2 linked regions of the Zea mays genome follow. Each later gene encodes a partner of the first gene's protein in a complex. Links are inferred from orthologs where the notes say so. Each region holds a gene or a part of one and is shown in the gene's direction. Other genes may lie near its edges. The genes, in order: uncharacterized protein LOC100194273 and Mitotic spindle checkpoint protein BUBR1.

What was found.
Region 2: uncharacterized protein LOC100194273 (region 1) and Mitotic spindle checkpoint protein BUBR1 share a complex: the UniProt entries of both Arabidopsis thaliana proteins name them as parts of the mitotic checkpoint complex. The link is inferred for Zea mays from reciprocal best matches to the Arabidopsis thaliana genes AT2G20635 and BUBR1.

The regions. Positions count from the first base shown.
Region 1 is NC_050102.1:160,973,986-160,989,489, forward strand, and holds the start of uncharacterized protein LOC100194273, read left to right. Parts: upstream 1-3,358; 5' UTR 3,359-3,510; coding exon 3,511-3,635; intron 3,636-8,222; coding exon 8,223-8,382; intron 8,383-8,487; coding exon of another isoform or gene 8,488-8,645; intron 8,646-8,757; coding exon of another isoform or gene 8,758-8,851; intron 8,852-15,504. UniProt on the Arabidopsis thaliana protein: Serine/threonine-protein kinase that performs 2 crucial functions during mitosis: it is essential for spindle-assembly checkpoint signaling and for correct chromosome alignment. Has a key role in the assembly of checkpoint proteins at the kinetochore.
Region 2 is NC_050100.1:126,586,655-126,602,615, reverse strand, and holds Mitotic spindle checkpoint protein BUBR1, read left to right. Parts: upstream 1-6,414; 5' UTR 6,415-6,468; coding exon 6,469-6,683; intron 6,684-6,864; coding exon 6,865-6,924; intron 6,925-7,042; coding exon 7,043-7,187; intron 7,188-7,291; coding exon 7,292-7,449; intron 7,450-7,983; coding exon 7,984-8,062; intron 8,063-8,142; coding exon of another isoform or gene 8,143-8,145; coding exon 8,146-8,212; intron 8,213-8,289; coding exon 8,290-8,341; intron 8,342-8,454; coding exon 8,455-8,611; intron 8,612-8,721; coding exon 8,722-8,810; intron 8,811-8,923; coding exon 8,924-9,004; intron 9,005-9,093; coding exon 9,094-9,154; 3' UTR 9,155-9,370; downstream 9,371-15,961. UniProt on the Arabidopsis thaliana protein: Essential component of the mitotic checkpoint. Required for normal mitosis progression. The mitotic checkpoint delays anaphase until all chromosomes are properly attached to the mitotic spindle.

The DNA.
Region 1 (15,504 bases):
CCCCACATAAAGCTAGTCCACTACAGCCAAACAGGACGCTTGCTGAGTACGTTGATGTGTACTCACCCTTGCTCTACACACCAATCCCCCCCAGGTTGTCCGCATTGCAGCCACTGCTCAGGAGAAGATGAAGCCGTGGAAGAAGACTTCCAGGAGTTCCAAGACTACGACGAGTTCTAGGCATGGGTTAGCGGCAACCCCCAGTCGGCTGCCCATGAAGGCCGCGTTTATATACGTTTCTTTTCCGCACTTTGATGATTTGTAAAGACTATGTGGATGTCTCAGACATATGATGTAATCGACTACTATTTCCCTTTTTAATACTATTTGAGCACTGTGTGATGATGTCCATGTTATGTAACTGCTGTGTACGTGAATCGCTGATCCTGGCACGTACATGGTTCGCATTCGGTTTGCCTTCTAAAACCGGGTGTGACACGAAGAGAACAAACAATTCCATTTTATGCATTGCTGGCATCAACTGAAGGGGGAACCTAAATGGGAGCATCTGTCAAGGAACTTCATTCCGAGGATTACATGCAAAATCAATTGGATCTTCTAGTACTCCATTAGTTGGTGGACATGAATCTAATAGTGGTTCTGCTGGTTTGACAAGAAAACGGCCCTGTGGTCATGATTCTAGTAAATCTGAGAGAAAGAAAGGTATGTCATCCTCATCGACGGAATACTTAAGCCGTTTGCAAGATTTAACTGAAAAACAAATTCAGCGCTGCATAGAAAAGGGTGAAAAGAAAGAAAAGTGCACTGAACAAGACAGGGAACTAGAGAAAAAGAGGTTGGAATTGGAAGCAAAAAAGTTAAGCATTCGTGAAAGGGAATTGAAACTTGAAGAACTCCAATCGCCCAAACAACAATTGCAGATGCTACAGTCAACTAGTGAAGAGGTAGTGGATCCTGAAGTTTGGACTATGATGAAGGAGCAGAAAAAACGCTTGCAGCAGTTCATATTTAGTTTTCAATAAATGTACTGTTGTGTGACATGTCGTAGTACTGGTGCCGAAAACTATTTGAGAATTTTTATCTAATTTCATTGTGTTATTTGTTTTCGAAAACATTATAAATTTGTTGTAACCATAAGTCTTGCATGACATGTTGGTTCTATGTTATGTTGTAACGTGTGTACTACATAATAATTAAGTCGGCTGTGGAAACACCTAGGATTATTATTTGTTGCATTGTTATCTTGTGGTTTACTTGGTAAAAATTAGGTTGTACATAATGAATTGTAATGACTTTGTCCCTGAACAGACGACATAGGGTAGGAAATTGTAGAATTAAATTATTTATTTGAAGAACCATAACAACGACATGACAGAGGACCTTACAATTATTCAATTGAAGTTCGAAATACGTAGTTATGAAATGAAAAGTTCACATGCTTCCACGTCGAGCCCACAAATGCTCCACAAGATCATTTTGTAGTGAGCACGACCTGTCTTGGCGACGAAGATCAAAGTGATTGATCACCCATTCCGCCCGTCCTTCTTGAATTAGTTGAGATGGTTCAATGCCTGAAGTGTTTTCTCCGAAATCTATATTAGCAGCAAACTGCCCTTTGTCTTCGACAATCATGTTGTGCATGATGATGCATGCTGTTATTATCTCCGTTAAACGATTACGATCCCAACCGTACATTGGACCACGCAGCATCGCCCACCGGGCTTGAAGAACTCCAAATGCGCACTCAATATCCTTTCGGTAACTTTACTGCATTTGTGTGAAATAGACTTTCTTTTCCTCATATGGGTGTCTGATTGCTTTTACAAAAGTTGGCCAGTTGGGGTAAATGCCATCAGCAAGGTAATATCCGAAGTTGTAAGCATGACCATTTATTGTGTAATTCACTAGTGGCATTCGACCGGTTGTCATGGGGTCAAATACTGGTGATCGGTGAAGCACATTTACGTCATTGTTTGTCCCAGGCATGCCAAAAAATGCATGCCAAATTCAAAGATCATACATTGCTACCGCTTCGAGTACCATCGAAGGTCTACCATTTCTGCAACAAAACTGACCACGCCATGCCGTAGGACAGTTCCTCCACTCCTAATGCATGCAATCTATGGAACCCAACATTCCAGGAAAACCCCTAGCCTCGCTATTGTGCATGATGTGTGCTATGTCAGCTTGATTAGGAGTTCGTAGATACCACCCACTAAAATATGCAATGATTGCGCGACAAAAATGATGAAGGCATTCCCTAGCGGTTGACTCCCCAATTTGAATGTACTCGTCTACCGCATCAGTAGGTAACCCATAACCAAGTATCCGCATTGCCGCACATACTTTTTGTAGGGGCCCGAGTCCTAGCATGCCTGTTGCGTCCACCCGTTGCGTAAAGTAACTATCCTGCTGTTGCAGTCCTTCCATAATGCGGATGAACAACGGCCTACTCATGCCGAACCTATAAAATTTAATAGGTTCATTGTGAATACAATGATAATGTCATAACATATTACAATAATTTGAAGTGCGTACCTTCTACGAAACACGTGGGTGGATACACTGGGTTCGGGCCGAAGTAGTGATGCTGGATGAGATTTTCTCCAGCAAAATGATCCCTGTGAATGATGCGGCGAGGTATACCGGAACATCGTCGGAGATGGCGTTTAGCCTCAATGTTGAGGGTAAGAAGATTGACAAGCAAAAGTGTGTCGTCCTCACTATCACTCGAATCGGAATCATCTTCCCTATGCCAGTGAGACATACCGAACAATGGCTAACTTGCTGGAGTTGTGTTCGTTGTGGCTACATATGCGAAGAGAAAGTATGCATATATATAGGCGAGATCAATGTGGCTTCAGGGGAAAGCTCGTGGCTTTCGTTGGAAGCCAACCGTGGCTTCCTGCGTACGAATGGTCGGTGTCTGCTTCCAACGTAAGCTTGGTTCAATTTTTTACATCGCAATGTTTCTCAATAATTATGACGACGCACAATTGTGAAGTTTTGTATGCAATTTCGAAATAAATTTTAACTCAAATGTTTGTTTTGTATATTATGCATAATTTGTAAAAAAATAAATATATTTTTTTTATAAATTTATAACATCGCAACATGCCGGACGTGTGAAAAGGAAAAAAGGAAAAAGAAAATGAATTTGGTTATGTTAGTTATATGGAAATGTATATTTAATGAGTAGAGGGATATATATATGAGAATTTTTAGGGAGAATAGTTGCGGGATAAGTGAATATAGGAGAGTGAATCTTGCTGACGTGACTATATAGTAACATTTAGGGGAAAAAATTTAAAGGACACTACTGCATACAGTCTAAAGTAGTAGGGGAAATATTTGGGTCCTGACGAGTGGGCACTGGCCACTTAGCTGCGGGGCGATTCTTTTTCAAATTTTTTGGGTGCCAAATATTTGCCCTCCAGTGCTGTCCACGGCTCAGCCTCACACACGCGCGAGAGCAAATTGCAGAGCTGCTCGTCGCCGGCGATCGCCGCAGGGTTCGTCCGAGAGGGGAGAGGCTCTCTGTATCGGGGCATGGTGATCCTGGACCGCACTCCGGCCGCGGCGCAGGGGGCCGCCTGTAGCCCGCTCCCGAAGTCGCCTAGGTTTTCGTGGGAGGTGGCCTCGCCGCCCTCGGACCCCATCCTCCCGTACCTCAGGTAATCTCGAATCTACCTCGAGATATGCCTCTGTTACTTGGATTCATTTAGCGTGTGCGAATCCGTGTGGGAGCTCGCTTAGTGCACGGGTGCGGTGCGTCCGTGCGTGTGCTTGTGCGTGTCTGAAGGTTCCGCCGTTTGATTGAATGTAAAGCATGTGCAATTTGGACGTTTAGTTTAGCTTGCGCGGCTCTACCTCCGCGATTCAGGGTCTGGTTACTCATGCCTACCAGTACCCCTGTGGGATTGAACTGGGATGCACTAGTATATGTTGATTTCTTATTCAAATTCTTGCGAGGCTGCCATGTGTGAGACCTTGATTTCGGTCTTAATTAGGCTGCTTATAGGTCTGATTTTCCTCTTCTAAAAATCCATGTACATAATGGAATGAGCTTAGACATGTGTTTGGGTCAAGGATAACCAAACCGTTTTTGGAGAAAACTGCTACCCACGGGTAATGGGTAAACCGGTGAAAACCGACAAAATCAACCGGTTTGCCCATGTCAAATTTGAACAAATTCAAAATGGTTTTACGGCGAAAAACCGGCGGTAAACCACCCAATGCCGCTGGTAAACCACCCATATGAATCATTTTTTTGTTTTCAGGGAAAAATGGAAAATTTTGGCAGAGTTCATTTGTAATTTGCTCAATTCACGTTGCATAGTAAATACTAACTGACTCACACAACATATGTTCACCAAAATGATATTCAACATACATATGCAACCACAAACTTCAATTCTCATGCAACAAACAACCATCGGATGGCACAATACTCAAATACAATTATACAAGTTCTTTTAGAGTTCTCCCACGAGGCCACGATACATATGTCTACTTGTTTCACAATACTCTTTATTCAGCTCGAGTCATAGTATTCAGGCATGTTGGAAGGATCCTGGTATGGGCCCATTCCGTATACGTAGTCCTATACAATGATATGAGATACATTAGCGATAAAACAAGAACGATAAATAAATACCTATTGTCGAAGCAAAAATAACACACCGATCTGCTTGTAGTTACATATACATGCATCTCGACAACAACATAGAATGGTCGAAACGGGTACCACCCCCTATGTGCGAGATGTCCCTCTTCTTCCCCCTTCGATTTGATGATCTTTTTTATGTGCGAGATGCTCCTTCAAACGTGTACCACCCCCTCCGCTCTTAGTTTCTCTACAATATTTTCTCTTGAAACCCGTGCTAACCTTCTCTCCATGCTCCTAGACAATGTCCGACATGCCTCCTATAAATAAGAAGACATAATATCATGTAACAAGAGTAGAATAAAAACATATAACTTGTAGCAAATGGCATATTAACATAAAACATCGAAACATATTTACTAACAAAAACATAAACCATCTGACAATAACTAAATATTAACATGACACAAGCAAATGAGTTAGGTCTTAGCATAGAACTATGTATTAACACGAACAAATGGACCTACACACTACACATATATTAACAATACTAACATATATATAACTAAATACTAACATATATAACTATATATTAATAGTACTAATATATAACTAGTAGGCTACAATACACCTAACTTTTGATGATGTAAAAAAAATCTAAAACCCTAAACATCACAAAACCAAATCTGGGCACTAAATGATTAAACTAGAACTCAATCATGTCATTAAATCCGGTTTTCCGGTGAAAACAGGCGGTGTCGGGTGTGGTAATTAGGCGTACTCAGATTACACCCCTAAAACACACTTAACCACTAAAAACACCATCAAGGTACGAAGGATCGTAAGCCGCGCTTCGCCCAAGGCCCCCCTCAGGGGTCTCCACAGACTCCGCCTCGCCCGAGCCTGTCCTCGGACGGGGTGTGTTCTCGAGAGAATCCTCGTCCCGGTCGAGGTCCCCTCACCCCAGAACGACAGTCTCCGCCTCGCCCGAGCCCACCTCGGGTAAGGGAGACAAAACCCAGGGCGAGACTCAGCTGAAGTCTGCCGGGGACAACAACATTCAATGCGCATACCTAACCCACATAGGGCTGCAGGTGTGCAGGAGTAACAAGACCACAGTCTAGTCAAAGATTCACCAACTATGATTACGCATGCGACCACTGTTCCTGTACGCCGTCTGCCAACTCCTGACGGGACATACAATACGACAAGGGTACAGGCTAGCCCTCGGGCGTAAACTTCGTTTCGCCCGAAGTAGAACTCGGCCTCGGGATAAACTCGGCTCGCTCGAGCCCGGTCTCGGCTACCTACTCCCCATGAACCCCGCAGGAGGCCACTCCTTCAACTGTGGCACACGTTTTCGAATCTCAGAATGGGCTCAGTCGCGATCTCGGACGGACTACCACCTCGCCCGAGCTCGGCTCTGACCTCGATATCTGCAACGGGAAGGCGCCCAACGTCATCAGACACTGCAGAACTGACACACTACTCGGGATGAAAACGGTTTCGGAATTTTTCGGTATTCTGGAAACCGATTTCGAAATTTTTCGATCGGATTCACCGGTAACAGTATTTTTTCAAAAACGGAATCGGTTTTTGGAATTTTCTATCAGAATCGGTATCGGAATCGGCGTGGTGTTTTACCGACCGTTTCCTTCGGTTACCGGTTTTGTCGGAAATTACCGGATTTGTGTCTCAGAATTTTCCGGAATTGTGTCTCGGAATTTTTTTCGGAATTTTCCGGCATGTGATTTTTTGGCATCGCCTGTACGTCTCTGGATAAAGATTACTTATTTTTGTATTTTTTGGACGCCTTAAGATTTTTTTTGGATAGATGGCGTTGGAAGGCTGTTGAGATTAACGATTTGGTCTCTCGAACGAATCCACCCTTTTCTATGCACATGTTATGTATTAGTAATATATAATGATAGAGAGCCGACAGTCTGTCTTTTCCACACACTAGATTTTAGGGTTTTCCTGTGAGGCTGTGAAAAAACTCTTTATGTGAGGAAAAAATATTTCATGAGTAAGCATGCCATGTCAGCTAAATCGAGTGGATATTGTGAATTGTGAACTTTGAGTCTGTGAACTTGTGATCTTTATGAACTTTTATATTGTGAACTTGTTATATCATGAATTGTGAACTTGTGGTCTTTGTGATCTTTTGCCAACTTTGTTGTATTGTGAAGTTTGATATGTTTACCGATCATATTTTAGATTTCGACCGTTACCAGTGTATTTTCCGCACCGAACTTTCGTTTCCGATGTTTCTGAAATACCGATATTGTTTCCGTTTCCGGAGTTACCGTTTTCGATTTTATTTCTGATAAAAAATATGAAAACATTAATGGTTTTAGTGTTTACCGTCTGTTTCCGACCGTTTTCATCCCTACACACTACTTAAAGGGCTTTTCCCATACTTGGTACTGTGTCAACCACTACAGTATGAGCAACCCCCTCGCCAGGAGGGCTTGGATACGTGATCGAACCCTCGGCCCTGGCCTCGGCTCTCAGCAGAAATCAAGCATGCACAAGTCAACAACAAGTACAAGGTCATAACTCTAGACCATACCGTCTACAGGACCACAGTGACACCTCCTCACAGTGTGCGGCCACCTCCAGTACTCCGGGCAACCCCTTCTGAGGCTATAAATAGGATAGCCTATGGCTTCAGGAGGGCAGACGAACACTTCCCCGTTTTCTCCTCCACCACGGTATTGACACTTTCCTCAATCAATCCAGGGACTTGGGATCGTTCTCTCTCCCGCTCAAGTTGTATTCTCTACTACAAGCACTTATGTGCAAGTAATATAAGGTAGTGTTTGGTTGAAGAGCCAAGTAGAACGGAGCCGTTCTGTCCCAGTTTTGTTGTTGTTTGGTTACAAAGTAACTAGAACGGAGTGGCTCCAATTAGGGAATATTCTCCTCATATCCGGAACCATCCCGCTCCAAAAAATCAACCGGACGGAGCCGCTCCGTTCCCAGCCCGCTCGCACAGTCACGCTTCGTTCCGTTCACTCTGCAACCAAACAAAAAACAGAGCCGCTCCATTCCAGATTACCAAACACAGAACAGAGCGGCCCCGTTCCTAGAATCAGGGATGGAACGGTTCCGTTCTACTTGGCTCCTCAACCAAACACTACCTAAGTCTCATCCCCCTCTACTGGAAGCAGGACCTCTTCTTGCTCGAACCATGATAAAAGACTTGTGTCAACTTGCATCACCATCTGAGTTAGGAGCACGCAGCATTATTTCACTGGTTGGTTAGGTCCTCGGGTCCAAACAACGACAGGCGGTTTACCCAAGCAAACGGACGGTTTATCGCCGACTTGAGGTGGTTAGCCGTCGGCTTAGCAGATCTGTGGTAACGGGTCTAAAAGTTTTCTATTTTTAATGGGCTAAACGAGACTAAATTTGAATATCTTATATATCATATGACTCATGAGAGGATGTAGTTTTTATCATAATTTTCCCCATTTTATAATTTTTTTTCTTCAAAATTTTCAAGTTTTGGCCGAAATTTGAAATTAAACCGGTGGAAAACCGATACCGCGCCTCGGCGTGTTCGGTAAACCGCTCGGTTTACCGGTGATTATCCTCGGTTTTGTTAACCTTGGTTTGGGTTGCTAATATCGGTTTCTGGTTTTCTATTTAGGTCTATTAGCAGGGCCATGGATGAGCTCGGAACAGGGCCTCAGTATGACACGACAGCCTTAGACAGGCTCAAGCATTACTTGACTGAATGCATTGCAAAATATGGGGATGACTACCAATACTCCACTGATCCACGGTTGCTCAAGATTTGGATCCTCTATGTAACCTGATTGATTTTATATATCATTTCTGATACCATTCCTCCTGGGTTGTTGTTTATTATTTTCCTTATCTTTTTGGGGTCTTTTGTGATTCTTGCGTTTTAGGCAGATGCAATTGAGGACTTCCCCAGTGTTTACAACCAGCTGGAGGAGAAAGGAATGTTTCAGGAGCATGCACTATTGTATGACTCATATGCACAATATCTAATTGCTCATGGGAAATTGGTTGAGGCTGATAAGGTGTATGGAATCGGTATTTCTAGGTTAGTGTGAGTGGAAAATAATTTCCACTTGAAATTCTACTCTTTTTAAGCATATACAACCTGATATTCACACGTCCATGTGATGTTAAAATATGGTCTGTGGCTTAACTAGGAAAGCAGAGCCCCTTGATAATTTGAAGAAGATGCACTTGACATTTCTAAAACATCTGGAGAATATTTTAGAAGAAGCAGATGCGGAAGAACAGGTAGCGTAACCACATGCTATGATTTAGTAGTTTTCAGCCTACATGTTGAGCACCATACTTGTGTATTTATCAAACCTCAGTATTTCTTTGTATCCATGAGTATGCTGATCATAGAATAGCTCATGGGTCTGTTGAGCATTACACTTTTATGTTTGTCGGATCCAATCATCATGACACTGTCCCTGACTACGCGGGACAAGCTTCTGGATAAGGTAACAAAGCCTGTAGTGAAGCTCCTTCCCCAAATCGTCATAAAAAAGAGACAGTCTAAGACGCCTCCCTCAGGATCACTACCACATCGAAGCAGACATGTGGTTGGTGCTGGTCCATGCTCTCTAGGGCCAGTGGTCTCTGATGTGCAGAAGAGAGCAAGTGATTCATAGCTTGGGCCTCTCTGCTATGGAGAAGATAACCAGTCAGCTCAAGATAATTACAGCTAGTTATTTGATAACCCCTTTCTGATGCACACCTCACTGCCTTTTGCTGCCATTTCTTGGGTGGAAGCGTTGGAGCGAAGGCGGCCCGCCCCCCTCGCTCAGTTCATTTATAACGTAAACAGAACATGTCACGACAGTTGGAGAGCAGAGTCTACCTCAATCAAGCGAAGGCTTTGGGACGGATGGATCAATCAGGACAGGCGGAGGCCATGATCCGAAGACCAGGCGCCCTAAGACGAAGGCTGCAGCCACTACTCGCGCATGTCAACGAAGCGGGCCCATGCGGCGTCATGCTGGATTGTGTGGCCCCACGTGTAAACCCCAGTCTAGGGTAGGATTGATGGTGTGTCAGTCCGGGTTGTACTTAACCATACTGTAATGATCTATAATGACCCCTGAGGGGGGAATATTCTGGGGATGACGTAGGTAACCAGGGGCATAATTGTACTTATAGGGGTGAGACCGCCGTCATGGTTACCTATAAATACCCCTGCACTGTACCTTGACGGGACATGCCGAACTACATTGTTGCTCTAAACCATTGAGTTGTTAAGCATCAAAGCATTTTCATATCTCATTGTTTGGACCCACTTGACCAAGTGTCAGTGAGTTCCAACGTTTGGCGCCCACCGTTCGTGCTCCGACAAACCTTTCCCGTGATGGCTCCCAAGAAAGCAGCTTCGAAGGCTACCACCTCCCTGGACGACGCAGCAAAGGCGGATCTTCTCGCTGAGAAGAAGGGCAAAGCAGGCCTGGTTGGCGATGTCCCTCATGAGGCCCTCGAGGATGGAGCAGTCAACAACAAGCGACACCGCCAGGAGAATCCGCCCACACCAGAGGGCACCATTCGCACATGCAGCTCTGAGGGACTATCTCGGGACCCCCCGCCAGGTTTCACCCCACCGGAAGCTGACAATATCATCGAGGACGGCGAAGTCCTGGGCATCTCAGCCGAGGACCAGCTCAAGTTGCATGCACTCCGCATAAAAAACAACCACTTACAGAAGCAAAAGGAAATACTCGCAGCCAAGCGCCAGCGCATCACCATGCAGGTCAAGGTCAGTCAGATGATCCTAGATGAGGAGCAGAAAGCCAAAGAACTGGAACAACAGATTGCAGAAATGCAAGGCGAAGACCCCATCCACCAGCGGCAGGACCCTGGCCACCGTTTCCGCATGCCAGTCCGGGCCCCAGCTACCTTTCATGGACTAAATTACCTTGATGAACGAAGCCCTCTCGCTCCACAGTTCCAAGCCTCATCTTGGCCCCAAAACTAAAGGGCAGGTACCTACCCGAAGTACAACGACAATATCGACCCGACACAATATATCATGAGCTACCAAGTCGCGGTTGCATCATCTGGAGAAGATGACGTCACCATGGCCAAAATTTTCATCATAGCTCTCGAAGGCCCAGCCCTCACATGGTACACGAGACTGCCTCCATTGTCAATCGACTCATGGAAAACACTTCGCGACAAGTTCTTGTTAAAATTTCAAGGGTACAGACCTGAGACAGACGCTCTGGCAGAGTTATCACTCTGCAGGCAGCAGGAGAAAGAAACCCTTCGAGAATACTACAAGAAATTTCTCCTGTTAAAGTCACAGCTGCCTTCGGTTGATGACCATATAGCTATTCACCATGCAATTAGCGGCCTTCGTGCAGGTGTTTTATACAGTCACTGCATAAGGGACCCACCCAAAAACTTGCAGGAATTATATCAGCTCTTCGAAAAGTACGCCCGGTCAGAAGAACTCCATCAAAGAAAAATCGAGTCTCAACGAAAGCCCAAGGACGCTCCGCAGTCCAGCAGGACATGGGTCAGGGCTTCGCAACCGGACTCAAGCCGGCAAGACCGCACCCAGTCCCAGGTGCACAACATCGCAAATCAACAGATTGGAGTCACCGCTCGTCGTCACGATTACCCTCCGCAGCAAGGTCGCATCGGTAATGCAACCAGAGGCAGAGGCCGAGGCTAGCGGCAACGAAGATTCTATTGTCTTTTCCACGGTGAAGACTCGGCACACCCAACCAGGGACTGCCCCAAAACTAACGCAACAAAGGATCGAATGGCTAGGAACCACCGATTGACAACCAGAGACTCGTCGCCCACACCTATCATCCCCATCAGTACAACCAGCACCAATTCCACAATGAACATTTCCATCCTCACCAGCAAAACCATAATATATACCCGCAACAACAGAGACTTCAACACGAAGAAATCCTAGCTCTACCGCCTCCACCTCCACAACATCCAAACCAACCATTACCACCCCCACCCCCACCGAAGCAAGAGGACTTCGCCGATTAACCCTTTCGAGGGGTAATCCACATGACTACCGGAGGATCCAACTCCGAATTCGACACAAAACGGCAGAAGAAAGACCACTATCGAAGTGTCAATCATGTCGCCCTCACCGGACATGTTGTTCAAACAAAGTGGTCCCATGTACCACTCACCTTCGATGCAAGGGATGTCGATCTCCGCAGTGCACCCCACGCCGATGTGATGGTGATAAATCGCAAACTAGCAGGATGGATTTTGCACAAAGTACTTGTTGACAACGGTAGTCAGGCATACATCATTTTCTTACACGCCTTCGATCAAATGGGCATAAGTCACAGCCTACTCAAGCCAGCAGATAACCCTCTATATGGCTTCGGAGGAAAAGGAACATTTTCACTCGGCAAAATCAAGCTACCACTGTCATTCGGCACTGTGCCAAACGCGAGAAGTGAGCAGTTCACCTTCGACATATTCGATATGGTCTACCCCTACAACGCCATCATGGGGCGAGGATCCATTAATAAACCAGAGGCATTCATACACGGACTATACCTATGCATGAAAATCCCAGGCCCCAGGGTGCAATTACCATATATGGAGATCAACAGCTTGCCAGGAACATAGAAAGAAATTTCGTCCCCAGCCAGCGCAATGTGCATTGCCTCTCATCCGAGCGCGAAGACTCCGGCAGCCCTCGCCCAAACAAAGGGAAAAAGATCAACGCACAACTGCAGAGTAACAAGGGAGTAAAAACAGTCCCCCTGGACTCAGCCACCCCCAAGCAAACAATCTTGATCAGCGAGGACCTCTTGGCAGTAGAAGAGGAAAGACTTCTCTCTTGTCTCAACCGCAATAAGGACATCTTTGCATGGTCCGCCCTAGACCTTGTCGGCGTCAGTCGTACCATCATTGAGCACAACATGGACATTGATCCTGCTGTACGCCCCAAGAAACAAAAACTACGAAAATGTTTGACGAAAAAACCGAAGCAGCGAAGGCAGAAGTCCATCGCCTACTGGAAGCAAAATTCATCGAACCCATCGATTACCCCACTTGGCTTAATGTTGTGATGGTACAAAATAAAAATGGAAAATGGAGAATGTGCATAGACTTCACCAATCTCAATAAAGTCTGTCCAAAGGACAATTTCCCTTTGCCAAGAATCGACAAAATCGTTGATTCCGCAACAGGATGTGAAGTAATGTCTCTGCTCGATTGCTTTTCGGGCTATCACCAAATTTACATGAAGAAGGAAGACAAGGCGAAAACAAGTTTCATCACACCCTTCGGCACATACTGCTTTGTGCGCATGCTCGAAGGCCTCAAATTTACATGAAGGTTGGTGAGAGTGAAGAGGTCTGCTATGCGGAATTCTTGTTAGTTTTCTGATTGGGCCTGTTTGGTGGCGGTTCAAAATATATTTCCTCTTGAATCCTTCTGCAAGCCTAGTTTGGAACGCCCATGGTCTTAGTACAGTGTGGTGTAATTCAGTTCGGGATGTTATCCTCTCCGCCAGGGCTGATGTGGTTTGCCTCCAGGAAACCAAAGACCAAGGTTGCATCTATAAGTTGGCAGATTTTTTACTTGTTTTTTTGGCTCTGATTATGATAAGTTTGTGGCCCTGCCGGCGAGTTGCACGCATGGAGGGATCCTGATTGCTTGGAAGAGTTATGTGTGCCAAGCAATAGCCTCCCATGTTGATGTCTTTTCAGTAGTTAGTCCAATTCGTTGAAGAAGGCTGTAATTGGTGGTTCACAGGCGTATATGGTCCTCAAGAAGATATCGAGAAATCCTTTTCTGGCAAGAGCTGTGGAATTTTCAGTCCCTTTTCTCTGGTCCATGAAGTGTAGCAGGAAATTTAAATTTGATATCAAGTGGCAAACAATAACATTAACAACCTCAACAACAGAGCTATAATGGGTCGGTTCTGGCTGTTCTTGGATGATTCAGAGCTTAAAGATATTCCTTTGTTGAGACAAAAGTATACTTGGTCTGGTGAAAGCTTGAGCCCAATTCTAGTAAGGCTGGACAGTGCCTTTTGCAGCAATGATTGAGAAGGATTTTTTCCTGATGCAATTTTGCAGAGCGCTGCCTCAGGGGTGTCGGATCAGTGCCTACTCATCTTGGGGCTCCAAGGTCAGCACTCAGGGAAAGCGCCACTTCCACTTTGAGAGTTTTTGGACCAAACTCCCAAGTTTTTTTTATGCTGTGCATCTGAACTGGGAGGCTCCCATATGGCCATATCTTCCAATTGTCGGTTGAGCGCCTCTTTCTCAAGCTGCAGCATCGTAGCAAATCCTTAAAAAAATGGAGCCAGCAGAAGATTGCTAATATTAGGACCCAGCTTGTAGTTGACAAGGAGATACGTCCATCTGGAAATTGCTAGGGACTCGCGAGACCTTGCTCATAGTGAAGAATGGCTGAGAAGGAACTGCACTGTCTTGGTTTGGCCTCTCTGGACTGTGCCATTGCTAGGCTGCGACCTAGAGTGTTATGTATATGAGAAGGTGGTGCCAATACTACCTTCTGCCACTTGCACGCCCGCTGCCAAAAGAAAAAACTCCAAGTTGAGGATCATATCTTTACCTGGCAGGAGGATAAGCGGGAAGCTGCCCTTGATTTTTATGAAAACCTGCTCGGGTCGACTGAAGCAAGGAACTTCACCTTTGATCTTTTGACTCTCCAGATTCAGCAGCACGACCTCGCTTCCGGCTTCCTTAGATGAGACTTTCTCAGAAGACGAGGTATGGGCAACAATTAGAGATATGCCCTTAGACAAGGCCCCAGGATTCGATGGATTCACTGGTTGTTTTTACAATTCTTGTTGGCATATCATCAAAGAGGATGTGTTCTTGTCTCTCTCAGCTATTCAGAATGTCCATGTTTTAGATTTTGTCTGCTCATCTGCTGAATGCTGTTTTTATCACTCTTCTTCCAAAAAAGGTGGGTGTTATTCAATTGAAGGAATTTTGGCCAATCAGCCTTATACATAGTTTTGCCAAATTGGGTACTATGGTCATGGCCAGTTACTTGGCACCCTTGCTGCCCAGCATGGTGTCCATTAACCAGAGTGATTTTTCTTCTTGTCCAGCAGATGGCTAGTTGTTTATACAGGATGAAATAACCCCACATTCTCCTCAAGCTTGATTTTTCGAAGGCCTTAAACTCGGTTTCTTGGTCCTGCAGCGGCTTACTGTTCAGCATGTTCAGCACCGGATCTCCATTTATGCTGATGACATTATCCTGTTTCTAAGGCCTACAAGAGGTGATTTGATCATCATAAAGGAGCTCTTAGATATCTTTGGTCATGTCATAGATCTCAGGACAAATATGGTCAAAAGCTCTGCAACTCCTATTCGCTGCTCGAAAGAAGACACAACACTCACTTCTGAAATTCTCTGCTGCACATCTGTGATTTCCCTTGCACCTACCTTGGTCTTCCAGTCACCATTCACAAGCCTGCTAAAGCAGATTTACTACCCTTGGTTGACAAGGTTGCAGAATGCAGACAACCTCCCTGGATGGAAGGCCTCTCTCATGAACAAGGCAGGATAACTGGTTGCTATGGATCTTTGCCCAAATGGCTAATTAAGGCAATTGAGAAGAGGCGTCGCGGTTTTCTGTGGAAAGGGCAGGAATAGGCTAACACTGGTAACTGTATGATTTCTTGGGCACATGTTCAGAAGCCACTACAATTTGGGCTGCAGGGCAAGACAGTTGCTGAATTGGCGTTTGGCGACAACATATTTCAGTTGACCCCTCCATTTGGATCCTATGAATTGGGCTGAATCAGAATTTGTTGTTTGGACAGGCCTATTTGGATGGACCATGAATTGGAAAGAAAGATTCCAGTCTCTTTTTATTGCTCCAAAACAGCAGCCCACCTCAAATTTCTGGCCTCAAGGACAAATCAATTCCATCCCTTC
Region 2 (15,961 bases), on another chromosome or scaffold:
CGATGCTGCAGCTTGCCAACAGCGGCGGCCTCCCCGATGCGTGCGTCAAGGCGAAGGGGCCCTCATCATTGGAGACGATGTCGAGGCCATTAAAGCCAAAGAGGCGGAGGCGCGGCAGCACACAGTGCTTAGTGGCCTAGCCGCTGAGACGGAGCCGGAGCTAGACCAGTTCATGGAGGCGTACCACGAGGTGCTGGTGAAGATTCAGGGAGGAGCTGACGAGGCCGCTGTAGGAGGCAATGAAGTTCATGCGAAAGATGGAGCCGCAGCTCAACTCGCTTTCCATATCCGGAAGGTCGCTGTGCAACACGCTTTCGTCCGGACGCTAGCAGAAGAAGTGTCACCTCCACGAACATTTCGCAGAGGTGGGCCAAGATGGCCGCCTGGAGGATGGAGTGGGGCGTGAGGTGCTGAAGCTGGAGGCTGAACTCCTCCAACAGCAACAGGAAGAAAGGTGAGATTGGCAGTGCCAACCCGCAGGAGAGGTTGGAGACGAAGAGCACGAACTCCCCGACGGCGAGATTGCCGAGGGGAGTGGCACCGGCGCGGATCCTTTTGGCGAACGCCGGCGCGCTCCATCCGAGCGGGTTGTGCACCAAGTTGAGTGCCACCTCGGACTGGAAACGCTCGAGGTGAGCTAGCGAGGCCATGGTGACTACGGCGACGCAAAGCAGGAGAGCGCGGATGCAAAAGGGCGTAGAGAGCTCGAAGGCGAAAGGGCACAGAGAATGGGAGAGAATGCGAAAGCGTAACTGCTGCTCACGGGGTGAATCCCTCTACAAGGCAAACTCTCCCGCTCGTGCCCCGAGACACTACGGGAAATCCCAGTCGGCGCACACCTGAAGCCCAGGCGACCCACTCTATGACACGGGGGCCTGGGCCCACAAGTCATACGGATTGAGCGCTGAACTCCTGGTGTGGGAAACGCGAACCGCCACGCGCGCCCGAAAAGTGGACCGTCGCCTGTGGTAGCGCGCCTCTTCATCTCCGCCACAAGAAACGACAGCCTAGTCTCTGACACGGGGAGCCGGGCCCATGAGTCATACTCCTTGGGTGTCGATTCCCGGGTGCAGAAAAGTCGAACCGCCGCTTGCGCGAGTACTTCGCCTCCTCAGGGCCGCCGCAGAAGACAGAGAAGGTGATTTTTTCAAACCAATGCAGCGGTATCGAGGCGCCTCACGCATGGCCCGACAAATCCATCAGGCATGGGGGCCACGGGTCAGTCAGCCGTGGGGACAGACGTGGCAGTTGACATGACCGAAGGCGGACTGGCGGTGATTACGTCAGCAAGCGTGCGGAAGCGGCGCATCAATCGCCAATCAAGCTTTGGCCCCACCTACAGGCTTGTATCCTCCCCTGAGGTGGGCCTGGGGGCCACTGTCGGTACCCTGAAATAGGGGTACCCCTTACTACAGTATGAAGATGTGGGGGACAGATATCCCCTGGATCCACTAGAAGGCTAAAAGACCTCGCGAAAGATCTTGGGCCTAATATTTCGCAAGGTCATCCCTTCGTGGGCCTGGGGAGGGACGTCTAGTGAAGTGGATTGACACAAGATTGGATCAACGCAAGCCCAGACGGCCTGATGAATTTGAGCAACGGTCGCAGCAGTGATCCGACCTTCCTGTACAATGTCCTCATACATCGGAACTGAATGGAGATAGGTCGGCAGAATTATAGGAAGATAGGCTCAGTCGGTTCACTATTACTTAGGCTTATGTTGTTATCATATCCGCATGTAAACGCCCCACGGTCAAGTATATAAGGCCTAGGGGGCACCCCCTCAAATGACATCTCACTCCTTAGCCATTTACTCAACTCTCTAGTATCCTCCATACTAGAGAACTCCCTTGTAACCTACCACACAAAAGATCCACACCAGGACATAGGGTATTACGCATCCCAAAGCGGCCCGAACCTGTACAAGATCGTCTATTGTTTCTCGTGCATCTGGCACGAACCATCGAGCTACAGTCGGTAACACCGTCCTACTCCAAAAAGCACCTCGAGGGGCAACCCCGGGTGCGCGGTCGGACCCAAAACACCGACAGAAGACGTGGTGCCCACGCGGCTATCTCTAGTCGCGTGGTAAACAGCACCCGACCCACCACGTGGACAGCTCCGGGGCCGCCACGTGGCCAGAGAAGATGATATACTCCAAGGTATCAACAGTGAGTCCGGACCCCCATGGGGGAGTGCCGGACCCCTGTATATGCAGACCGGACCTCCGGGAGAGGTCCGGGACCTCCCACTAGTAGAAAAAGGCTCAAAGCCTGCGGGGTGATATATTTTTACAGACGGATTCGTTTATCAACCGATTGTGCTATTTTTAGTGGCGGTTCCTTAAGAAAACCGCCACTAGAAATCGTATTTCTACAGGCGGTTCCTTAAGGAAACCGCCTGTAAAAATCCATGATTTCTAGTGGCGGATTTCTTAAGGAACTGCATGTAGAAATCGATTTCTAGTGGCGGTTTTCTTAAGGAACCGCCACTAGAAATCATTTTTATCCTTAATTTTTTGAGTTTTTCAAACAACCTTGTATGACAAAATCACCAAAATAAAAGTTATAGATCTCTAAAAGTTATAAAACTTTGTAGTTGACAACTTTTTTATTGGAACTCGTTTCGGTTCTAAAAAAATGAATCTAAGTATGTCAAATTTACTCCTGCGTTTTCGAGAAAAAGTATGTCAAATTTAAAATTCATATTTTGCAAACTACCTCGGATAAAAAAGTGTCAAAATAAAAGTTGTAGAACATCAAAAGTTATTCAACTTTGTAGTTGACAACTTTTTTATTTGAATTCGTTTAGAGTCTCAAATAAGCAATTTACACTCAAATGGTTGTAATATGTGGACAAAACAACTACAAACTAGACACAATGCATGCCATAAACGGAGTGGTAGTGGAGATTACGCGCGAGGGTGAGGTCGACGGTTCGATTACTAACAACCGCATATCGCGCGAACTTTACGCGAAAAATGCCGCGACTTGCAACTTTTAAATTTGTTTTAAAAAACCTATTTAATGTTTTAAAATAATTTTTACTAGCGGATTTATTACGTCGACCGCCAGTGGAAATTGATTTCCACTGGCGGTCCTCAGTTATCCGCCTATAAAAATGATGATTTTTACTGGCTCCTAGTACCGACGGTTCTAAGAAACGCCAGTGAAAATAGGTTTACAACCGTCACTATAGAGCTCCTTTGTACTAGTGTCCACGGGTGCAAACCGGACCCCTAGGATGGGTTCCGGACCCCTCTGTGTGGGGTTCGGGCCACTCACAGCAGGGTCCCGGGATTCTGGGACGAAGAATACCTAGGCCTTAACAAAGGCCAGGCGGGGTTCCGGAGCCGACACATGTCCGGACCATACCGTGTACGCTTCTGCTCCCCGCTCAGGCGAAGACCCGATGCTGCCACGTGGCCTACTGCCCGTGACGTAAGCCAGCGGGCAGAGCCTGACGTAAGGCCTCTGGGCCGCGCGACCTCTGCATTTATTGCGGATAAGGCGCGTTGCCTGTCAATTCCACTGGCAGGTGATGTGCCGCCTCGGCGTTTAATGAGCCCTGTCCATTCCACTGGCAGGCGATGTGCCGCCTCAGCATTTAATGTGCCCTATCCACTCCGCTGGCAGGCGGCGACCACACCATCCCGCAGGCGGCGTGCCTGTCTATTCCATTGGCAGACAGTACGCCCGTGCTGCGGCGTACACTATGCTCATCATCACTCGCGCGTTACCGAGGAAGCAGCGCGGGATATCAATACTATATGCACTACGGACATTATGGCGCTCGGAGATCACCCTGGCGTGACAAGCGTTAGTTACTTCCTCCCATTTTGTCCATGGGCCCACATGTCGGGGCTCAACATCATTATACGTGCCCCCCTTGAGCTATAAAAGGGAGGGCACGCAACGTTACAAGACAAGTTCTCAAGTTCTCTCACACTCACTCAAACTCACAAGTTCATACAAGTTCTCAAGCTCAATACAACACACAATGGAGTAGGGTATTACGCTCCGGCGGCCCGAACCACTCTAAACCCTTGTGTGTTCTTGTGTTCTTCTCGATTCCATCTAGCAGGCAAAATGCTTAGGCCTCCTCCTCATCTTAGGATTTAGGGCGGGTGCGTTTCTCCACCCGGCTGGAGAATTTCCTCTCCGATAGTGTGTTTGGATGGGATTCATTTAAAATAGAGCGGCTCCATCCTAATTTATGAAAATGTAGTCGTTTGATTTTGTATTTGACAAGCAGAACATAGCCGCTTTATTTTTTTGATTGAAGAGTAGAAAAAAGCGGAAATACTCCATTCTTTGTTTGGTTGGAGAACCATATGAGTAAGGATGACAATGGATTGGGTTTAGGTCGAGTGGAGCAAAAACCCGCCTGTGATCACACCCGTAAAGTCCACCTAAACTGAGCTTGCGATTACACCCACGGGTGCAATTCCAAACCCGTACTCGAACTCGTCGGGTTTCAGGTGGGTTTCGGGTCACCCGCGGGTTTTTACTCAATGTACAATTTTAGTTAATAATTCGGCTATAGGCAATTAAATCTCTACTATATTTAAAGCACCAGTTTTAATGGTCATCCTGCGTCATCTTTTTACAAATAACACCTCATAGCTATTTCAAATTAACAATTAACCCGTTGCACGCCCGTCCGGCTGACGTCCCAAAATACACCTCCACATATAGATGGCCAAACGGCGGCCCGGCATGGGCCAGACGCCCGCAGGCCACAGATCTGGCCCAGACACGTCATGCCGGCCTGCTAACTGTGCCGGGTCGAGCCATTAGCTCATCGACCCATTTGATTAAATCAGCGTAAAATGTTAAAAAATAATGCAAGAGGTGGGGTTCGAACCCATGGCCTGATAGAAGAAGGATTTGAGACACTGTGTGAAGCTGTCTAATTAGTAGAACATCATGCTCAAATATTTTTAATATTGAATATAAATTGTATATATGTATATACGTTTTTTAAAATAAAAAATATAATCGTGTCGGGTTGGGCCAATACTATGGGCTGAGGCTACAACTCAAGCACATCACGGCGTTCTTGGCTCTTGTAAGCATTAGGTCGTTTCTGAGACCACATTGGCGCAATGGACTCCATGGTGTTTGAGGTTGCTGAATTGGATGGAGCAACAATGATGTGCCACACTAACAGTAAAATGAAAGGTTATTTGTTGGTTCTAAACGTTAGTAATTGCTACGAAGTAGCATAATTTATATGGAACACATCCAGTTTTTATTGATGCCTGACTTTAGCAACCACTCTATATTTTGATCTATCTTTTTTATAAGTTTGAGTTCATGTGACTTATTTTAGAAACTTGAGCTTACAAACTTTCTCTTATTTGGTCTCTGTATATAGGAATTATGTCATTCTATAATCTATGTTCGTTCAGTCAGTCGTTATGAACTCTCTTATAATCGCTCATTTCATTGGTTGTGTTGTACCAAGACATACTGGATGGAGTAAACAATAACATCAGTTAGCCAAATCAAAAAAACATTATACGGAGAGCAGAGACAAATAATAAAAAATCTTGATATTTTTATGGATTTACGTGGGTATTGTTGTAAGCCGTCGCAACGCACGGGTAACCGACTAGTATTAGTAATAATTGAGTTATATCTATGAATTTTAAGCCTTCTCACGTTGAGCGCAACAAAATATTTAATGAATAATTAGCCAACCTACTTATTCAAAAATAATTACTATTGTATTGTATCATAAGTAGTATTGTGCAAATTAAAGAATGATCCAAATTTTGTGTCGGGTGTGGGTCACCCATGGTTGAAATAGAAACCTGCATAACACTCGTGAAACTTTGAGTCGAGTCTGGGGTGCACTCACGGGTTAAAATTTTTACCTGTACCCGCACCCGTCGGGTTGGGTACGTGTCGAGTTTCGGGTTTGCGGGTTAAATTGCCATCCCTACATAAAAGTGTAGGGGGGAGGAAAGACATGAGTATGCTCACATCCGATCGTTTTGATGGAGCAGAGACATCTCAATTATTTATGATATATTTTTATACGGAGACTATAAGAGTCGCTTTACTCTCTTTCATTAGAAACCAAACATCTACAAAAAATAGAACTGGATTGGTTCCATTCGCATCCACTCTTTTACCAAACACATCCTAATATATGTACTTGGTGGAGTAATTTAGTCCTCGTTTCATGGTTGCTTTTTTTTTTTTTTGCTAAAATTTACGCTTCTCATGGCATACAGCCAGTTGAATTTGTTCCAGCCAAGCAAAACATAGCTGGGCTATTTTGAGTACAAACCGGCCCAAATAAAACATGGGATTAACTAAAAGCCTACGGCCCAAACTTTTCGCAAAGCTTCACCGTTTAAAACCGAAACCTGACCTGCGGGCTGCAGCAGCGTCCGCTCCAAAACGCAACGGTCGAATCTCCTCGAATTCGAATTGCAGCCGGTGCCACCCACCTCACATGGCGGCGGCGGAAGAGATGATGGCGGTGCTGGACAAGGAGACGCTGGCGCTGATGGGTCTGGGCAACGCCGCCGCCGCGGTGGTTGCCGAGTGCGAGAAGTTCAAGGAGAACGCGAGGCCGCTCAAGCGCGGGCGCGACGTGTCCAAACTCAACCACGCGCTCAAGGCACACGCCGATCCCGCCCAGCGCGCCACTCTTCTCGAAGCCCGAAAGTACGTTTCCTTCTCCAGTCTTTCGCCCAGCAATGGGGGAAAAGGAGTTGTGGTTTTGTAACTTTTGTTTGCTCTGGATTTCTTTTTCTTGGGCCTGGGTCTGTGGGGAGGAGACAAGTTGCTGCAGTAATGCAAATATATATCATGTGTGTTCATCGTTCGGTTCATTTGCTTGATCCAGGAAGCTGATTGAGGCAATCTACGAGTACCAAGGCGAGGATCCGCTCCAACCGTGGCTGGAGTAAGTTTTTCTCATAGCCCCTTTAACTCGCCTTTTTCGATTTCTTGGTTCGTGCCAGGACTGGTAGCTGTTCTAGCAGATAGATTGTTCATTTCTTCTCTGATTCGTCCGCGTGCAGCTGCATCAAGTGGGTGCAGGAGTATTTTCCGACCGGCGGCGAGTGCTCAGGGTTGGTGGTGTTGTACGAGCAGTGCGTGCGGACCTTATTGGACGACGAGCGCTACAAGGACGACCTCCGCTTCCTCAAAGTGTGGCTGGAATACGTGAGTGATGCTTTGCCAGCTTGATTGTTTTTCTCTGTAGTTTGTGTCAGTGCAGTGGAGGCACCTCATATATCATTCCGCTGCCGATCTTGTCCTTTTTGCAGGCGGGGAACTGTGCTGATGCTGAGGTAATATACAGGTTCCTGGAGGCCAACCAGATTGGGCAGGGCCATGCGATCTACTACATGTCTTACGCATCGTTGCTGGAGTCAAAGAACAAGTTGAGGAAAGCTAATGAGATCTTTGACCTTGGTATAGCTAGGTGAGATTTTCTTTAGATCAGCACGTTTGTTCATATAAAGCTCCTGAGTTTTAAATTGTTAGGTAGATCATGCTGTTGTACTATATATCCGATCCAAAAATTGTGTCCTATAATGGACATGGAGTACATATATGCTCCTGTGTTTGATTTTCGTACATAACAAGAGTCAATGATGGTACAAAAATGAGGCTGATGTTATACTGAATCAGTTTTCCTTCTTTGTTTTATTTTCATGATCACTTCTAATTTGATACATTCTAACGAATTAGAAATAAAAAGTTCCTTTTAGTTTCTAGTTCGCAAACGTAAAATGAAAAAAAAATCTCAGTCTTCTACTTCCTATTCTTTAAGATTTGACACTCCTTTGACTAGTTATGCCACTATCTTCTTGTAAATGATACAACACTCGGAATTGTTTTACTTATCATGGTTTCTGCTTACCTCTTTTGTTATGGTTAGTTGTGCATTGGTTTTAATACTTGATTAATCCATGTGAATGTATGAAGTTTCTTATATTCGATTTTTTATTGTCAGAAAAGCGAAGCCTCTGGAGAAGTTGGAAGCTGTATACAGGGCATTTCTTCGAAGATCAATCAAAAAGAGGGAACAAGAGGTTTGCTATTCAAATTACAGCAGTGTTTATTTATCTTGAAGCCAATACCTCAGTTGAATGACTTCTTTCTTTTCCTGTAGCAGGATGATACAGTAGATGATGATCTGCCAAAACGCAGTTTCGGGAATAACTTGAAACGAGATGAAAACAGTAAGCTTGTTCAGTTTTACTCTGATTTAGCATGAACTTCGAGTGGCTGCAACCTAATACATATGCAAACATGGCAGGAAATCAGCAAGCAGGGAACTCCCACCTGGGGAGACCAAGGGCACTGCAGAGGTCAGTACCTGTATGATGTGACAGATGTAAAATATCCATCTAAACCTGGAGTTTTTTTTCCTCATCATGTCACTGATTATGCCTTTGCACACTTGCGGAATCGATGCTAACAGGCCGCTTTCAGTTTACAAAGATGAAAGTCCATTACCAAATCAGGGCCTTGACAGAGTGAGGAGCAAAGAAAATAACACAAGTTGGCGCGTCCTCGGAACACGAGCAGAACGGAACAAGGAAAATAACATGATGCCTGCTAAATGGACGTCTCACAAGGTACTTTTGCCATGCCATTTAGGATTCTCTGAAGTGGCCCATGTGAGACTTGCACCGAGGACAACTATTCAGTAACGAACTTGTGGTAACACTGCATTGTTGTTGTACAGATTCCACAGAAGTTAGGAGCAAGAGGAGCGGTTCAATCAACCCGAGCCAGTTGTTCCATTGAAGTCTTCGTCGAGGAAGACTGCACACAGTATGTTATTTAACATGCTAGTGTTACTCTTTTCTTTTTTGAGATTGTTCAAAGTTACTACAAAAACATATATGTCTAAATAGACTCTTTTTTTCCCCTTTGGATTGCTGTAGGGAACCTGCTCGGCCGGTGCCAAAGAGCCCAAATCCTTCTGTTCTGAAGCTCAGGCAAACAACAAGCAAAAGCCTTAAGAAGTAAGTACAGCATAGCTCTTGTAGCTTCGGGTATTTGGGAAACTATTGTCAGCAGTTCCCTAACCTCTGCGGTCTTTTCTTTGGAGCAGGGAGACTGAATTGCTCAAGGAGAACCCGCTGCGCAACTTCCCCCTGAGCAGGCTTAGGTAATCAGCATCTTGCTGGTTCTGAGAAACATCTCGTACGTTATGATTTGGTCGTATGTATGGTTGCTGTGAGGTGTTGTGCCCAAAAAAGGCTTTATTAGCCTCTAAAGCTTAGACGAGCAATGTATGCCTATGGCATTATCCAAGTGATGTAAGGCTGTGCATTATATTGACACGGCGTGCTTATTATGAATAGACCTGCAGATCTCGTGCGTGCCTATGTGAATCTAGCCTCGCAAAATAATCTGCTTCTGCAAATTCTAATAGCTTGTTCTGTAACGAAAATGCCTTTGGACTAATATCTAATAGCGTCTCATTCAGTTTGTTTATATTTGAATGCCTGAGAAATTAGAAAACATATTTGAATGTTTTATTCCGTCCATAAATATAGAATCTCTGTAAGCATGTAGCTAAACTCAATAGAAACATTTTATGCGTAGAATGTGTTTAGGATGGCAAAAATGTGTATTGATATGCATGAAAACAAAAAAAATCTGATTTAAATGCTTTATTTTTCCCATAAATATAGGATCTCTCCGACAGCAATCCAGCTATGCTCGTTGGACCAGTTTATGACATATACTAATACTAATTATGCATCTGATACACCGCATAAAAACTTGTTTTTTACTGCATACACACAAATTTAGGATGACAATAATAACCGTTAAAAAGAAATGGACATGCATCGAAACAAAAAAAATTATTTGAATGCTTTATTTCGTCCATAAAAGTAGGATCTCTACAACAGCCATGTAGCTAGAATCGTTAAAACCAGTTTATGATGTAGATATTTATGCTACACGATATAGATATTTATGCAGTGTGACAGACTGCGTAGAAAATAAGTTTCCTGATGTATGCACACAACTTTAAATGACAAAAATGTGAGTTGAAATGAAATGAGATTGGTATGCATGAAAAAAATCTGATTTAAATACTTAATTTCCTCCATAAATATAGAATCTCTTCAAGAGTCATACATCTAGTCTTGTTAGAACCACTTTATAATATATACTGAAATTAATTATAGTACACAGTGAAGGTATTTATGCACGCGATACATTGTGTACAAAATCTATTTTCTGTTACATGTGCACAAATTTAGGATGACAAAAATGTGAGTCGAAAGGAAATAGATTAGCATATACTGCTCAAGGCTTTATTTCGTCCATAAATATAGTATCTCTTCAACAACCATACAATTAGGCTTGTTAAAACTAGTTTATGATATATACTGATACTAATTATGCTATATGTGGAAGTTATTTATGAATTGCGGTACACTACATGAAAATCAATAAACGTTGGAAGGAAAATGTGAATTGAAATATCATAAAATGTGAATTGACGTTGCAGTTAGACTCGTTAAAACTAGTTTACATAAAATGCGAATTGAAATATCATAAACATACAAAGGATGAGAAAGCCATGACCTAACAATGTATCATAAAAATATATTGACGTTGGCATAAATATGTATACAAAATCGCATAAAAACAAGGTCGTAGATCCTTCACCGCTCGCACCTAGTGAAGTCCGTCATCGTCACTCGCGCCTAGTGAAGGAGACGTCGTCACCGGAGGTGGGACGCCAGGGGGCGCCACTCCGGGGTGCCCGTCTCAGAGGAGCCGACGTCGCGCCTCTGGGATCTGCCGCCTCGTGCGCGCCACCCAGATCCGCCGCCGCCGTGCTCCCTCAGGGCCATCACCGCCGCTGTCGAAGCCTACCGCACCTCGCGCAACTGTCGTCGCCACCGGGCCTGGGGTGTGCCGCCACTGCTCATCTGCTTCGGGAGCGTCGCCGTCGCTCGATCCTTGGAGAGCGCCGCCGCCGGTCGCCCTCCTCGGGGATCACCGCCGCTCGCACGCCTGAGGAAACCGTCACTGCCGCTCACTCGCCTGAGTGAACCGCCGGCCCCACTAAAACCTAATCTCTGGTGGCCTAGGGGTGTTTTCATAGCCGCCCGAAGCTAATGTGGCTATACAGAATGGCTCCGTTGAGTCAGTATTTCCTCTAGTTATTGAAAACCCTAGGCACCATATATATTATATATATATATATACATACATATATATATATATATATCGTGGATAATTTTTCTCATAATAGAAAACTAGTAACGCAATTGTTTCTCCAAGTAATTTGCAATTCAAGCTACAGACAAAACGTGATTGGAAACTGGCGTGCAAGTGGATACATGACATGCTAAGGACATCAACTAGGCCAGACCAGTCCGAGAGCAGGTACGGTGCAAACAAGAAGATCCATTCTACATTTCTATACACGTCATGAAAATGACCATTAGTTTACTTTTTTTGGTTTCTTTAGGGCACGATGACAAGCCGTCTCGCCAGATGATAACGTAGTAAAACTGTGGCTGGCTGCCCAAGCCCACAAAGCCTTTGTACATTTGCATTACATCATTGGGCTTGCAATGCGACATGGCCGGTTGGTTAGAACCAGTAGCTAGCTAGTGAGTAGCAACACACACTGTTATATAAGGAGGTCACGAGCACACAGCCATGCTCCCGGTGCACCTGCTCCAGGCAAGATTCTCTCCTCTCCTCTCTCAGAAGGCTAGACGGCCGACGATGAATCGCCAGGCGAGTCGGCGAGGCCACCGGGTGCGCCATGTCCGGCTCGGCTCGCTTCTCCGGCTCCGCGTGCGGCTTTTCGGCCTCCTTGTCCGCTGCCTGGAGGACTTCAACTGGTACCCTAGGGGGAGGTCGAGGCCACATAATAAGATGATGCTCAGTCACGCTGACACTGGGCCAGCGGAGAGGGAGAACTCCCTTCAGGCAGACGCCATTGCAGATTGCTTAGAGTTTATCAAGAGATCCTACCTACCTGCTGGTGATCAGCAGCCAGATTGCTGCTAGCTACCCTTCTTGGCCCGGCCGGTTTGGTTCTCGTGACATTCCAAACAAGCCCCAACACCCACGTGAAAGGCTTTCCTAGTTTGTACACATACATATAGCAGTTTTGCTAGTTACCTTTGTTACGTTTGTTGTATGCATATATACGAGTAAATCAAGAGTGACCAAAATGTATCTATGGCTGCTGAAATGTGAAACGTCATTTTCTTGGCAATAAGAATACGTGTGGTGTGGCTTTTTTGGGCGATATATGGTTTTCATCTAAGCGATTAGGTGAACTTGACTAATAGATGGCAACTAATCAAGTAGCTTTCAAGCTTAGTTTTTCAGAGCAGTTGACCTAGTCCCGGCATAGTACAAACAAATTTGTGGACGAGGGTTTCTCTCTGTGATAATGACTTACATGGGCAGACACCTCCTTAACATTTTGAAGTGGCAATCAACATATCTTCGGTGGTACATGCTGCTTAATGCATGGTTATTCAAAACGTCATAAGGACCTGTTTTAAATTGCAGCTCGATTATTAGAATCTGTTAGGGTGTCCTCTACGCCGGTTAAAAGTAATAGGGTTGGGTTTATCCTAACCAACTCTCTAATAACGCGCCCTTGATCGGGGGCACCTTAACCATCATTGCAAACCCCGGTCACACAAGCACCATATGAATAGCATTAAGAACTGGTGGGTTAAGCTAACGCAACAGCCTTCGCCCAAACCCTAACCCCACATTGATAGAGGCTCCCATCGCCTAAGGTGCTTGGAGTGACCGGAATCGCTGCAATGACGACGAACATGGATGACCAAACGTCGCCGGTCGTCGACTTCGACAACACGCAAGGAGATGTGGATCCACCTCCACAACCACAAGGAAGAGGGACACAGGGAGGAGGTCATCCCTCTCAAGGCGCCACTGCCATCACCACCGCCACCACCAATGCGAATCAAGAAGGTATGTTTCACAAACTTCTTAGTTAGATTAGGATTCCCACATCATAAAAGGTTCTAGGCTCTTGATTGGCTTTCTAGGGATTTAGGTAAGATTCTGAGCACCTTAATTTCTATCATTGGCATCAAAGCCACCTAAGTTTTCCCTAGATTCACTAATACGATTCAAAGGGATCAAGAACAGCTCTCGGGTAACATGTGAGTAGGCTCAGAGAGACCATCCTTGCCCACTCACCCCGAGAAGATAAATCAGAGAAGAATTAGAAGTAGAAAAGAACAGACAAGGTCTTGGGTTAGGTAGATCCTACCACTAAATCCATAATTTTGAGGTAGAAGACGAAGAGTGAGGGTTCGGGTTAGTGAAAGTCGCCTAGAGGAGGTGAATAGGCGAAACCTATAAATTATAAACTTTGAACACGAACTTCACCCAGGGTTAGGATTAGAAATAGTAATAATGAATTTGGAGTGTAGAAGAGAGTTCTTCTTGCTATGAGTTGCTCAATCAATGCGGATAACTTTGGGAGCTAACTCAAAAGATTGTGAGTGTTGGGGCGAAGGCAAAGACGCCACCCTTCGCTCGTCGCCTTCGCTTCAGTCGCTGGTCTGATAGAGACAAAACGGGCAGGGACACCCTTCGCTCGATTCAGCACCAGACGAAGGCCTACGGTGACGTCTCCCCGCAGCACGGCCTCGTCCTGCTCTAAGGCCCACGTGTGATCTGGCCCATTGTAACGGGCCCCGCGTGGCCGCCTTTGTGTTACGGGCCTAGTTTGTAAAGGCATTCTTGTAATTACAGCTTGTAACCCTGCTTTATGGGAATATTCTGGGGATAAACTAGGTGTCTGAGGGCACATGCGTCCTTAACACAAGACGCTGGGCACTCAGATACCTATAAATACCCCCGCACAGTGCCCGTGAGAGGCTAGATTAACAGAGCTATTGCCCCCCGAGCACGTAACCCTGTTGTCGCCACTGTTCACCCCTGTTGGCCTCCTTGCTGCTGAGACCAAGTGCCAACATTTGGCGCCCACCGTTCGTGCTACGACAAAACCACCCGCGATGGCACCCAAGAGAGCTAACCCGAAGGCTGACGAGGCTGCAAAGGCAGCACTGCTGGCCGCAAGAAAGGGCAAGGCCCTCGCCCTCACCCAATCCACCCACCAAGAGCCCACTGAAGACAATGTTCCCCACACCGGCGAAGACGACACCTTCCGCACCTGCGGAACCGAAGGACAATCGCAGCCGCCCCCAGGCTTCGCCCCACTAGGAGGCGCGGACCTCACCGAGGACGGTGAGGTCCTCGGCGTCTCAACAGAAGAACAGCTACAGCTGCGCGCCCTGCGCCTCAAGAACCGCAATCTCCAGAGGCAGAAAGAGATACTGGAGGCCAAGCGCCAGCGTGTGTCCGCACTAGCCAAGGTGCGGCAAATGATACGCGACGAGGAGCAAAAGGCCCAAGACCTCGAGCGCGAGATCGCGCTGATGCAGCGCGAAGGCCACCTTGGCCTGCAGCAAGAGCCACCCCTCCAGCAGCGCGCGCAACCGGAAGACACGCGCGAAGGCCACCTTGGCCTGCAGCATGGCCCACCCCTGCATCACCGGGCGCGGCCGGAGAGCCCGCGTTTCCCCCAGCGCGACTACACCTTCCAGCACGGCGCGCCATTCCAAGGAGTCAACTACCTCGACGAGCGAAGTCCCCTGGCGCCACACCTGCAGGTGACGCCTTGGCCAGCTAACTTCCGAGCGGGGACCTATCCCAAGTACAACGGCAGCACCGACCCGGCGCAATACATAATGAGTTATCAGGTCGCCGTTGCATCCGCCGGAGGGGACGACGCCACAATGACGAAGTCTTTCATCATCGCCCTAGAGGGCCCAGCACTCACCTGGTTCACCAGACTGCCTCCGCTGTCCATTGATTCGTGGAGAAGTCTCAGGGACAAGTTCCTGCTCAACTTCCAAGGGTACCGCCCAGACACCGATGCCTTGGCCAAGCTCTCGCTTTGCAAACAGCTGGAAAAGGAGACTCTGCGGGAGTATTACCGCAAATTCTTAACACTCAAGTCGCAGCTGCCCTCTGTCGATGATCAGATCGCTATCCACTACGCCATCAGTGGCCTTCGGGCCGGCGTCCTCTACAGCCACTGTATCAGAGATCCACCCAAGAGCTTGCAGGAGCTATATCAGCTCTTCGAAAAATACGCCAAATCCGAAGAGCTCCACCAGCGCAAGGTTGAGTCACAGCGGAAACCCAAAGATGCCCCGCAGTCCAGCCGCACGTGGACGAGGACTCCGCAACCAGACTCCGGTCGAGATGGCCGCAGTCAGCAGCAAGTGCACAACATCGCCAACCAACAGCCTGCTGCTGACCCCCCTCGTCGCCAGGAATATCCCCCCCAGGGCCGCGGAAATGGAACTCGTGGCAGGGGCCGAGGGCGCGCGCAGCCACCGCGCCGGTTCTACTGCCTTTTCCACGGCGAAGACTGCGCCCACCAAACCAAAGACTGCCCCGAAACGAAGGCAACCAGAGACAGAATGGCGCGGGCGTAGCCAGCCGACAATCCCAGAATTGTCGCGCATAATTACCAACCACCCCCTCCACCATATATCCACGCTCCCGCTCCGCACCCACCGCACCACGCTTACCAACACCATCAGGAAGTACAAATCGTACCTCCTCCACCCCCACCACCACACCAGCAACATCAAAACATCCCCCATGCCCCAAAGCAGGAAGACTTCGCCGACCAACCGTATCGCGGAGTCATCCACATGATAACAGGGGGGTCCAGCACTGACTTCGACACCAAGCGGCAGAAGCGGGACCACTACCGCAGTATCAACCATGTCGCCGTCACTGGCCCAGTCGTGCAGACGAAGTGGTCCCACATACCGCTAACCTTCGACGCACGAGACGTCGACCTGCGCAGCGCCCCCCACATCGACGCTATGGTCATCAATTGCAGCGTGGCAGGCTGGGACTTACAC